3 linked regions of the Canis lupus familiaris genome follow. The protein of the gene in region 1 purifies or fractionates together with the protein of each later gene. This does not show direct contact. Links are inferred from orthologs where the notes say so. Each region holds a gene or a part of one and is shown in the gene's direction. Other genes may lie near its edges.

Region 1 (4,039 bases):
TTCCTCCAGAAGGCAAAGGGGAACTCGGAGGGCGCGCGACCACGGGGAAGTACTACCCCGGGGAGTAGCGCGGGGTCGGAGGGTCTGGCCGGGGCCAGGCAGGCTGTCCGAGAGGTGGGGGGTCCAGCGTGGGTTCCGGAAGCAGGAAAGCCGAGCAGGTGTGGGATCTAAATTAGGCTGAGGGCGGGGAGGGCGCTCGGCTCAGAAGGACAGAGCTCGGCCTCCGCCCTCAGCGGAGGACCCTCATCTCGGGCGTTCGTTGGCTCGCAGGCCTGCAGTGGGCTGAGACCCGCCCAGAAACAGGGGATCGGAGGCTGGGACGAGCCCCTCTGGCTCCATAGATTTTCTGCCTTGAGGTGCTAACAGAGCCCCACTTCAACTCCGGCCTCTTCCGAGAAGTGGCTGCACGCTACGGGGTAAATGCCGGCGTTGGGGCGCCGGGGGGCGGGAGGAGGTGTGTGTGTGGGGGAAGAGCCGGGAGCCCCGAGGGAAGGGCGGGGGATCCTGGGCCGGAAGGCGTCCCAGGCTCGGCTGGAGCCGGCGCTCTCTTTCGACGCCACCCGCTGCCCCCGCCCCGGAGCCGGCCGGGACGGCACAACGTCTCCGCCCCCAGCGCACCGCGCACCTCACCTTGAACGGCGCTCCACCCACCACCATCCTATTGGGCCGGCCGGACCGAGGCGAGACGGCGATTGGCCGAGGTGCCCGCCGAAGGCCCCGCCCATCTCCCCGCCCCCGTCCCCGTCCGCCGGTACTTTGGACGGCGGCGTGGCGCCCCTCCTCCCCGCCCGGTCCCCGCCCCCTGGAGCAAATGCTGCCGAGCTGCGGCCGCGGGGCAGATGCACGCGCTCGGGCCCTTCTAGCAGGCGCGAGCAGTCGCTGGGCGCGCGAAAGCGAAAGAAGGAAGAGGAAGGGAGGGCGGGGGCGGGGTGTTGAAGAGGGGCGGGAGGAGGAAGAGGAGGAGGTTGGAGCGCGCTCGCGCTTGGCCTCGCGCCCGCGCGGAGGGAGGGGGAGAGGGGCGCGCGCGCGCACGCTCGCGTTCTCGCTCGCTCCATCCATCCATCCTCCGGTCGCGGCACGCGCGCGCGCTCCGGGCTCGCGCCGCACCCCCCGCCCGGGAGAGGCGGGCTGGAGTGGGGGGCGGGGGGAGGGGCGCGCGGACGGCGCGCGGACTGCGCGCGGGCGGGGTGAGGTGAGGAGGAGGAGGCGGCGACGGGACGAGAAGGGAGGGGAAGGGGCCATGGCCGCCCGGTGAGGCGGCGAGGCGGGGGGGCGGCCCGACCCCCCGGCCCCGGGCCCTGGGCCCCGGGGAGAGGCGAGGACGGACCGACGGACATGGGGCTCCGGAGCAGCCGCCGCCGCCGCCGCCGCCGGAGGACGCGGCCCTGAGAGGCCGCCGGGCCCCGGCGCGGCCCCCCGGGCGGGGTGAGTACGGGACGGAGACGGGGACGGGGGAGGGGCCTGCGGGGGGCGGGGGGCGGGGCCCGAGGCGGGGCTTGGGCCCCCTCCCCCCAGGTCTGGGTCAGCGCCCCTTCCCCTCCCCCCGGGCCGACGCGGAAACGCCCGGCTTCCCCCGGCTTCCCGGCCCGGCCGGGGCCCCCAGCTCTCCCCCTGTCTGGGTCCCCCCTGGGCGGGGCAGGGCCGGCCGGGGAGGGGGCGCGGGGCCTTTGTTAGGGAGCCAGGCCCCAGCCCCCGGGACAATAGAGACACCCTCCCGGACTCCTCTCCCCGGCCGGCTGGGGCTGTCGGCGGGGGGGAAGGAGAGGGGCCGGGACGCGTCCCACTCTGCCCACTCTCTAGGGGTCGGTCTGTCCCGGACCGGCGCCGGCCTCGGGCGGCTCGGCTCTCCTCCCCCCAGTCGGTATGATGCAGCAGCAGTGCCGCAGGGACGGGGGAAGAGCCGAGGCCCGGCCTCCTACCCTCCCCGGTGCCCCTGGCTCATTTGTCAGTCCCCACCCCACTCTAGGCCGGCAGCTCCTTAAACTCGTACCCACCGTTAAGAGGGGCCCCGGACTGTGGGCGCTGTTTCAGAATCCTTTGGTGGGGATTCCTGGACTTTGGGGCTCTTGGAGAGACTTCCGGGCTGGTCCTGAGGGAGGGAGGGTGGTTATCTAAAAAGAAGAACAGGTAAGGGGAGTGCCCACTCCCGGCATGCCATCCCCACCGGGCTCTACCCCTCCTTCCTGCTCATGATGGCTAGAAATGCTCCTTCAGCTCTAGGCTTCTGTGGGCTCTGTGCCCCTTCTGTAGTCACAGGCTTATTTCAAGGGAAGACACAGTGGGGTGAAGGTTGTAGGGCTCTAGGGCTGTTCCTACTTCTGGTAGCAGTACCCCCCCAAGTGGACATCCTGGCTGAAAGCAGAGGTGACTCTGAGGAGAGCCTAGGGAAGGGGGGGGGGGGTATTTAGGAGTCTGTGCAGTTCTTTGCCACACCCTGTGGGTTTGCTTTGAGGCCTTAGAGTTCCTTCTCCTCCCCCTGCTGCATTGCACCATGGGTATGGAAGAGGGGTTTGAGTTTGGGGGACCTGGGGTGAGCTGCTGCCTCCTATGGACTCAGACTTGGACTGGTAGCAGAGTCCAGGGCCTGAGTTCAGTCCTGGGAAGGACTAGGCCGCCTTTGGGTTTCAGGCCCTGAAGGACCATCCAGACTTAGTGAGCCTAGGCCTTGGGGAAGGGTAGATCCTGATGCCAGCATTAAGCTCTGGGCAGTGGGGTGCAGAGGGGAGGTGGCAGTCTCCAGAGGTGTCTTGGACTCACACCAACATCCCCCCCACCCCCATGTGTGCAGCCGTGTTGCCGCCCGCTGTGCTATGAGCAGTCAGAGCGCCGTCTCCACAAGAGTTTACAAATGAAAATGGAGGAAATGTCTTTGTCTGGCCTGGATAACAGCAAACTAGAGGTGAGGGCTCCCCCACGTGTGCCTCTAGTTCTTTCTCTTGATGTCTCTACGTCGCTATATCTGGCGTTCACACCAAAGAGGAATTTGGGTAGTCAGCCTGGTTCCTTAAAGGGAATAGCCAGCTGAAAAGGCCCAAGGCTCCGGAAGAAGAAAGGATGCGAAGTCAAGATGGGGAAAATGGCAAAGAAAGCATTATTTTTGGCCAGGGCGAGTTGGCAGATTTGGTTGGTGAGAGTTGCTCTCAGTCCAGGGGGCCAAGACTCCTGACCGTGGATGTTCTCCCCTGGGCCCAGGCCATCGCTCAGGAGATATACGCGGACCTGGTCGAGGATTCTTGTTTGGGATTCTGCTTTGAGGTACACCGGGCTGTCAAGTGTGGCTACTTCTTCCTGGACGACACGGACCCTGATAGCATGAAGGATTTTGGTGAGCTTCAGGGTTGAAGGAGAGCCATCCGGCCCCTGTCCCGGGGATACTTGCAAGTTCCTCCTCTGGAAACTGCACCAGACGTAGTACCTGGGGCTCCTGTGAGCCCAGGCAGGGGGTTTCAAGAGGCCATGGGGCCATGGGCGGGAGACAAGAGGTGAGGGTCCCCTGCCTGCCCTGATCGCCACGCCTCTCCTGTCCCCAGAGATCGTGGACCAGCCGGGGTTGGACATCTTTGGACAGGTTTTCAACCAGTGGAAGAGCAAGGAGTGTGTCTGCCCCAATTGCAGCCGTAGTATTGCTGCCTCTCGCTTCGCTCCCCATCTGGAGAAGTGCCTGGGAATGGGCCGGAACAGCAGCCGCATCGCCAACCGCCGGTGAGGGCGTCTCTCTCCGCTAGAACCAGAGATGCTGGTCCCACCTCTTGTAACTTGTGGCATGGTGTAGTCCCCCAGGGGCATTGGTGGGGCACAGAGGGTGGCTCGTGCTTGGCCTCTGTGGTTGGGGGCAGAGAGAGGTGGCTGTCTTGACCCTTTCTCTTCCCTTCCGTTGGTAGGATTGCCAATAGCAACAATATGAACAAGTCAGAGAGTGACCAAGAGGATAATGATGACATCAATGACAACGACTGGTCCTATGGCTCAGAGAAGAAAGGTGTTTGGGGATTTGGGGAAACTGGCTGGGGGGACAGGGGGATGCAGCCCATCAGGGTGA
Region 2 (2,987 bases), on another chromosome or scaffold:
ATTCCTTTAGTTAATGGGCAATTGAGTTGTTTCCACTTTGAGCTACTGTGAGTAATGCTGCTATAAGCATTTGTGTACACATTTCTGCGTGTACCTATGCTTTCATTCTTTAGTGTATATACCTAGGAATGGAATTGCTAGATCATAGGGCTACATCACAGAAATATAGGTCACAGAAATATAAATTCCTGCCCAAGAGAGTTAAGATACATGTAAGTCTCTTAATATGTATCTCCAAGTTGCTTTTCAAAAAGCTTTGAATTAAGTTTTAACTCTATGATTGAAGATCTTACTGTTATTCATGGTCGGTTCTCAGGAGTAATGATGTCCCAAAATAACAGCCTAGGACAGTGTTGTCCAATAAAAATATCATACAACTCATTAGGTAATTTAAAATCTTCTAGTAGACACATTTTTTAAAAAAGTAATAAACAGGGGAGTGTGGGTGGTGTAGTCCGTTAAGCATCTATCTGACTCTTGATTTCAGCTCAGGTCATGATCTCAGAGACATGAAATTGAACCTCACCTCGGGTTCTGTGCTGAGCACCAAGTCTGCTTGGGTTTCTCTCTGCCTCTCCTTCTGCCTCTCCCCTTGCACACTCGCGTGCTCTCTCTCTTTCTCTCTCAAATAAGTCTTTAAAAAAGTAATAAGTGAAATTAATTTTAATAATATATTTTATTGAACTCAATATATCCAAAATATATCTTTTCAAACTATATATTTAAAAATTATTGCTAAGGTTTTTTTTCTTCTTTATTCACATTCAGTTTCTGAAATCTAACATGTGTTTTACACTTTACATCTCCATTTGTTTTTGTTTCTGGTTTGTTTTTGTTTTGTTTTGTTTTGAGATTGTATTTATTCATGAGAGACACAGAGAGGCAGAGACGCAGACTCCCCACAAGGAGCCAGATGCAGGATTCAATCCTGGAACCAGGGATCATGCCCTGAGACAAAGGCAGATGCTCAGCCTCTGAGCCACCCAGGTGTCCCTCACATCTCCATTTGAACTAGGCACATTTCCAGTGCTCAGTAGCCAAGTGTGGCTTAGTGGCTACTGTATGGAATAGCACAGGTCTAGGAATTTGGCTATCTTCTTTGGAAGGTGGCAGGCGGTTACTTTTAAAAACATATCCTCATTTATGTCCCTTTGTTACCTTACTCTTTTTAATAAAAATGAAGCAGAAACAAAATTTAACTGACTAAAAAAGCCTCCTAGATAAGAGAATGGCTTACTAAATACTGTTTTACTGCTTCATATTTCTACCTGTTGAGTAACAATGTATAATGGGTGAAAAAAAAGACAACTTTAAAAGATACACTCCTTTATTCCAGCTTACTTGAACAGATCCTGGGGCTAGTTTTGTTTCTAGAATCTACATTATGTTACTGAATGCTAAACACCAGTGCAATGTTGCTCCCGAACATCCTGCTCACCGGTACCCCGGGGGTTGGAAAAACCACACTAGGCAAAGAACTTGCATCGAGATCAGGATTGAAATACATTAATGTGGGTGATTTAGCTCAAGAAGTCTGATCAACAGATATCATGGAGTCTGGCAAGATGGCTTCTCCCAAGAGCATGCCGAAAGATGCACAGATGATGGCACAAATCCTGAAGGATATGGGGATTACAGAATATGAACCAAGAGTTATAAATCAGATGTTGGAGTTTGCGTTCCGATATGTGACCACAATCCTAGATGATGCAAAAATTTATTCAAGCCATGCTAAGAAGGCTACTGTTGATGCAGACGATGTGCGGCTTGCCATTCAGTGTCGTGCTGATCAGTCTTTTACCTCTCCTCCCCCAAGAGATTTTTTATTGGATATTGCAAGGCAAAGAAATCAAACTCCTTTGCCGTTAATCAAGCCATATTCAGGCCCCAGGCTGCCACCTGATAGATATTGCTTGACGGCTCCAAACTATAGACTTAAGTCTTTACAAAAAAAGGCATCAACTTCTGCGGGAAGAATAACAGTTCCACGGTTAAGTGTTGGTTCTGTTACTAGCCGACCAAGTACTCCCACTCTTGGTACACCAACCCCACAAACCATGTCAGTGTCAACTAAAGTAGGGACTCCCATGTCCCTCACAGGGCAGAGGTTTACAGTACAGATGCCCACATCACAGTCCCCAACTGTAAAAGCATCAATTCCTGCCACATCCGCAGTTCAGAATGTTCTGATTAATCCATCATTAATTGGGTCCAAAAACATTCTTATCACTACAAACATGGTGTCATCACAAAATACTTCCAATGAATCATCAAATGCATTGAAAAGAAAACGAGAAGATGATGATGATGACGATGATGATGACGATGATGACTATGATAATTTGTAATCTAGCCTTGATGCTGTAACCTGTAAACTTGGTCTTAAATCCATTGTACTGAGATTAAACGTGCATGCTGGGTATTTTGAAGTTGTGTTGTAGAAAACTTAAATGGTATTTAATGAGTAAATATAGTTATCCTTTCCTATTGAATGTTGGGTTTTCTTTAATAGGATTAGTAATGGTTATTCATTAGCCTTTAAGTGTGAAAAATAAAATTGTTGTTCATCAAAAAAAAAAACAAAAAACACCAGTGCAAACATTCTCTTAAATTAATAAAAATTTCTTTTGTTGAGTCTTTAATGATGAAATGAACAGGAAAGAAGAAAAGCAAGAAATAGATTTGACTGTGCTATACTGATGAAAACCATGTTTTTCAATTTATTCTCACAATAAAAAGTATTTGATCTGAAATCCTATATAATCCCAGGATGCAACAATCCTTCTCTGTTGTATGGCAACTTCCTGCCATGCATAATTATTTTCCAAAAGCGTATCAGGTCAGAAATGAAGCAGAGAATGGGGGAAAGAGTCCATAGTGATCTTAGGCAGATTTTATTTTACTAGTAGGAATCAGTTGGATAGTTATTACCACCTGGCACTGCTAATGAGTCTAGTTGGGAAAACAAAGCAGCAAAGCATTCCACA
Region 3 (4,203 bases), on another chromosome or scaffold:
GTCAGGAGGTGAGGGCCATATGCCTTGCCCTTTTAACTATGAAGGTTCTTTCTGAACAAACTTGCACCTCTATATCCCTTGCCCTTCTTACAGGCTACCCTTACATTCCCTAGAAAAAACACATTTGGACACAATGTTAAATTCAATTTCAACAAGTTCCTGGACACCCCCCCCCCCCCCACAATCTGTGGCTCTCGGGTTAAGAATCTCTGCCCTCAGAGATTATCTTCCTAGTACTTAAACATTCCCTGGGTGAAAGTGAAAAGAAAGTCTGAGTTCTTGAAGTCACAGACCTTGACTTACTTGCCTCCAATTTGGTTTCCTTTAGCTGAAGGAATGAATCTGGGGTGAGCTGTGAGGGTTGAAGAGGGAAAAGAGGACTAGTATCTCTTTTCTGATGTGATAGGGGGGGACAGGCTTTGTCTCTTGGTTGTGGGAGGGTGGGAAGAAATGTTATCAGCTGAAAAGAAGAAAGAGGATGATTAAGGTATTTTCCAGGCCTTAGTAAGGAAAATGACAGATCTGATGAGAAATCTCCCTATGCCTAGGCTCTGGTAGCAGCCCTTCCAGCAGAGAAAATATTCATTAGAAAAAGGAAGCCAAAGTGATGGATGGAGTCAGGGTCCAGCCAGGGTTTGGGAAGAGGCGGTACAGGGTATCGATCGCAGTTCTCAGGAGGAGAGAAGGATCAGCAGAGATGCTGCAAAGACCAGCAGCCTCGGGGCCGGCTCTGGCTCGGAGACAGCCTTCTGTCATCCTGACAGGTGATCCTGATCAGCTCATCTAGGTCCTCCCAAACCCAGACAACGCCACCCCAGCCCTCTAGACTGCATCAGGGCACCGTGGGTGGCCCACAGAGGAGGCACAACACGGGAGCCGAGGACCCTCCCCCACTCCAACCCTTGTGTCCTTCAGCACATCCAACAGACTCCCTCCCCTTGCCCTTCTGATTCACAGCGCCCACCTCCCTGCACCTACCCTATTCGATCTACGGGGGAGCGAAGTCGCTTCTTGACCGCCAGCCCGGGAAGGGGCGCCAGCCAGCTGGCGGAGGCACGGCTCAGAAGGGCTCTCGGGCAGAGAGAGGGCTGGGGCTGGGGGTGCAGGGAGCTTGCGGGAGCGGGCTGGTAGCACAGAGAGTGGGTGCACAAGGGTTAAGAGAGGGGGTCCCGGGCCTTCGGTCTCTTCGCCCCCCGCAGTTGTGCATTTTGGAGGGGCTCTGGCTGCAAGCTCGGTAGGCAACAGCGCCCCCCCAAGACTACACTTCCCAGAAGGCTGTACGAGAGGGAGCGCGAGGGGCCGACGAGCCGTGGCGCGCTTGCGCAGAGCGTGAGCTGGCGGGGGGAGGGGGAGGGGAGGCGTGCCCGCGGCGGGGCGGGGGGGCGGGGGCCGCGCGGCGGAGGCGCCGGGGCGGGCGCGCGTCCGCGGCGGTGATGGCGGTGCGTGAACGCGCGGCGGCAGCAATGGCCGCTCTGGAGCGGCGGGTGCCGAGTCTCGATGACTTCGCGGGACAGAGCTGGAGCTCGTGGGTGGAACGGGCCGACCTGCCCGCGGCCGACGGTGAGTGAAGCCCCCCTCGAGTCCGGGGACCCCATCACCGTCTCCCCTCCCCCCCTCCGGGCCCCCGCCGGCAGAGGGGAGCCGCCGACGGCAGCCGCCGTCCGGCTCCGCGGCCCCCCAAACAAAGGACCCGCCGGGTCCTAGTGCCCGCCCGCTCATCACCTTCGCGCCTCCGGGTCCTAGCGCCGGCCCACCGCCCGCAGCCCACCCTGCCCACCTCTGCCTCTACCGGTGCCCGGCACCTGCCCCCACGTCTGCTTGCCTTTATCTCTCTCTTCGCCTGCTGTCCTCTAGCTTCCGCCCCTCCTGCACCTGCCCAGGGCTTTCCCCGTCCGCAACAGCCCTCTCCACGTGTTTCCCACGCACCCCACTTCTGTGCCCCCCTCCCACCCCCCTTGTTCCTTCGCCTTCTGCCCCGCACCTCCTGCTCCGTTACGGCGTTTGGGCCTGCGGGTTGCAGTGCTACTGGACCCCCGCCCCCTCCGCTTTAGTTCGTCGGTCCATCCATCTATCCATCCTCCCTTCCTCCCTCCTTTCGTCCATCCATCCCTCTGTGCCTCCAACCCTCAGTCCTCTCCCGGGCCTCTTGCCCTGCCTCTTGGCTCTCTCCCCTGACACCCACCTTCTCTAGGCCCCCGAGTGCCTTTGGTAAGCTGGCTGACAGCCCCTTCTGCTGATCTTTGTCTCCTGGGCCCCAGGGGGCACCTGGCCTCGTGGCCTTTGGGGTGACAGCAGGCATCACAGCCCTGAAGAAGTTTGCAAGTGAGAAGAGGTGGAGGAGGAGACCGCATGGAGCCGTCTCTGATGACACTTGTTCTCCTCTGAGACATCCGACTCCCAGCTCAGCTCTGCCCATCACTGCATTTTAAGGGACTTAAGAGTGGGAGCTGCCCCTTGTCTCTTGCCTGCCTAACCCACTACCCCTCGTATACAGAGATTATGTAAGACTGTCAGTGAAACTTCTCATCCTAGAAAGGGGCAAATCTGTTGGTAGGTGTTAGAAGCACATCTCAGTGGAAGCCCAGGCCACCCCAGGACTGCCCCATGCTGGGTGGGCAAGGATGGGGCCATTGTCAGGGTCTGGGTGCTTTGAGAACCGGAAATGGAATCAGACGGGTTTGGTGACTCAGAATTGATTTTTTTTCCAAGGGACAGGGAGGGGGCATAGAGGAGGGAGGGGAGAGGAGTAAGGTAGGGGGATGGGGGAAAGAGCTGCTTTGCACAGCTAAGATGTTTTTGTCATCAACCCAGAAACTGAGGTAGAAGGGCAACCCTTGCCCAGAGCCCTCCTAAGGAGGGGAGGGGCTTGCATAGGTGACCAAAGGGACTTTGAGGATGCCAGAGGACCCCCCCAGCCAGACAGCAGTTTCTCTTCTCAGGATGCTCTGTGACCATCCTGTCAGCACAGGACCTCAGAAGCTGGGTGTAACTTTGTCAGTACCAGGGTAACCCAGGTGGAACAGAATAGCATTCATGGGGATGGGGACCTGGGAGGGTACCTGTTTGGCACGGCACAGAGTAGCAGAAAGGACGCATCAGAGAAATCTCCAAAGAAGGGACTTAGAGATTTGTAGTAAAATATGTTAAGGATCGTTTCCCATTTAAATGGGGAAGCGGGCCCAGAAAAGAGATCATATTTATTCACAATCGCCCAGTAGTTTGCAGTGGAGCTGGGAATCGCACCTTGGAGTGAAGGGTCCATAAGAAAGGTGACAGGATCCTTCCTAATGGGGTCAGGCCATTCCAGAGGTAGCAGGTGAAGGAAGAATGGGCACTTGAGAATGACCTGCTGAAAGGCACTGTAAGCGGTCCTGAGCACCAGATCCTGAGCACCAGAAGCGTGTTAGGGACTGTGGGCTCCTGCTGCTCTGCTGCCAGGCCGCTGCCGCTTGGGTAGGAGATGGGGCTTCTGGGGTGGAGGTGTTCCTTCTGAGCTGTGTTTCTCCTCTAGGGGCTGAGTTGGAGGAGAGTAACAAAAACACGAAGAAGTTGGATGCCATGACCCTCATTAAAGAAGGTGGGAGTTGACACACATTAGGCTGGGGCCTAGGGCAGACAGGACCACCTTCCTCTCTTCCAGCATATCCCAGGAGGTAGCTGCTTGAAGCAGCAGGCCTGGGGAGCCTCACTTTGCTAGATCTGAGTCAGCCCATTCACCTACCGCCTGTGACCTGTTGTGGGAGATCCTAATCATAGGTGATTGGGCTCACTCACCCAACAGCTCCTTCTTAGATGAATCTCTAGAAGCTGAGAGCATGCAGCATAAAGCTTGTCATGTCAGCTGGGAGGGGGAGGTGTCTTCTGCGCGGGGTGGGTGGGAGTGCTGTCTGACCTTACAGGGAAACCCCTGGGATCCCCAGCCCCAGTGATGAGGGCTTCTTCATTGCAGACATGTCCATCTTCGGGCACTGCCCTGCCCATGACGACTTCTATTTGGTTGTGTGTAACCACTGCAGCCAAGTGGTGAAGCCTCAAGCTTTCCAGAAGCACTGCGGTGAGGCGAGCCCTAGGGAGGAGACAGAGGGGACAGGGGAAGGTGGAACATGGGCCTCTGAGGAAAGGGTCAGTTGGGAGGTCATGTGGGTAGCGCGGGGAGGCCTTGGGGGGGGGGGTCAGAAGGTCCTGGGGGTGGCTTCAGAGGAT

What was found. The genes of interacting proteins can lie anywhere in the genome.
Region 2: the proteins of ATXN7L3 (region 1) and TAF9 purify together in Homo sapiens (affinity purification with mass spectrometry; 6 studies listed by BioGRID and IntAct, counting the BioPlex papers as one, with this or other methods). This does not show direct contact. The link is inferred for Canis lupus familiaris from reciprocal best matches to the Homo sapiens genes ATXN7L3 and TAF9.
Region 3: the proteins of ATXN7L3 (region 1) and ATXN7L2 purify together in Homo sapiens (affinity purification with mass spectrometry; 5 studies listed by BioGRID and IntAct, counting the BioPlex papers as one, with this or other methods). This does not show direct contact. The link is inferred for Canis lupus familiaris from reciprocal best matches to the Homo sapiens genes ATXN7L3 and ATXN7L2.

What each region holds. Positions count from the first base shown.
Region 1 is NC_049230.1:19,072,517-19,076,555, forward strand, and holds the start of ATXN7L3 (ataxin-7-like protein 3), read left to right. Parts: upstream 1-1,239; 5' UTR 1,240-1,425; intron 1,426-1,912; exon of another isoform or gene 1,913-2,364; intron 2,365-2,788; 5' UTR 2,789-2,848; coding exon 2,849-2,899; intron 2,900-3,192; coding exon 3,193-3,325; intron 3,326-3,530; coding exon 3,531-3,702; intron 3,703-3,881; coding exon 3,882-3,979; intron 3,980-4,039. UniProt on the Homo sapiens protein: Component of the transcription regulatory histone acetylation (HAT) complex SAGA, a multiprotein complex that activates transcription by remodeling chromatin and mediating histone acetylation and deubiquitination.
Region 2 is NC_049257.1:19,523,889-19,526,875, reverse strand, and holds TAF9 (transcription initiation factor TFIID subunit 9), read left to right. Parts: upstream 1-1,422; 5' UTR 1,423-1,550; coding exon 1,551-2,348; 3' UTR 2,349-2,487; downstream 2,488-2,987. UniProt on the Homo sapiens protein: The TFIID basal transcription factor complex plays a major role in the initiation of RNA polymerase II (Pol II)-dependent transcription.
Region 3 is NC_049227.1:42,829,321-42,833,523, reverse strand, and holds the start of ATXN7L2 (ataxin-7-like protein 2), read left to right. Parts: upstream 1-1,403; 5' UTR 1,404-1,433; coding exon 1,434-1,560; intron 1,561-1,724; exon of another isoform or gene 1,725-2,550; intron 2,551-2,728; exon of another isoform or gene 2,729-3,511; coding exon 3,512-3,577; exon of another isoform or gene 3,578-3,949; coding exon 3,950-4,054; exon of another isoform or gene 4,055-4,066; intron 4,067-4,203.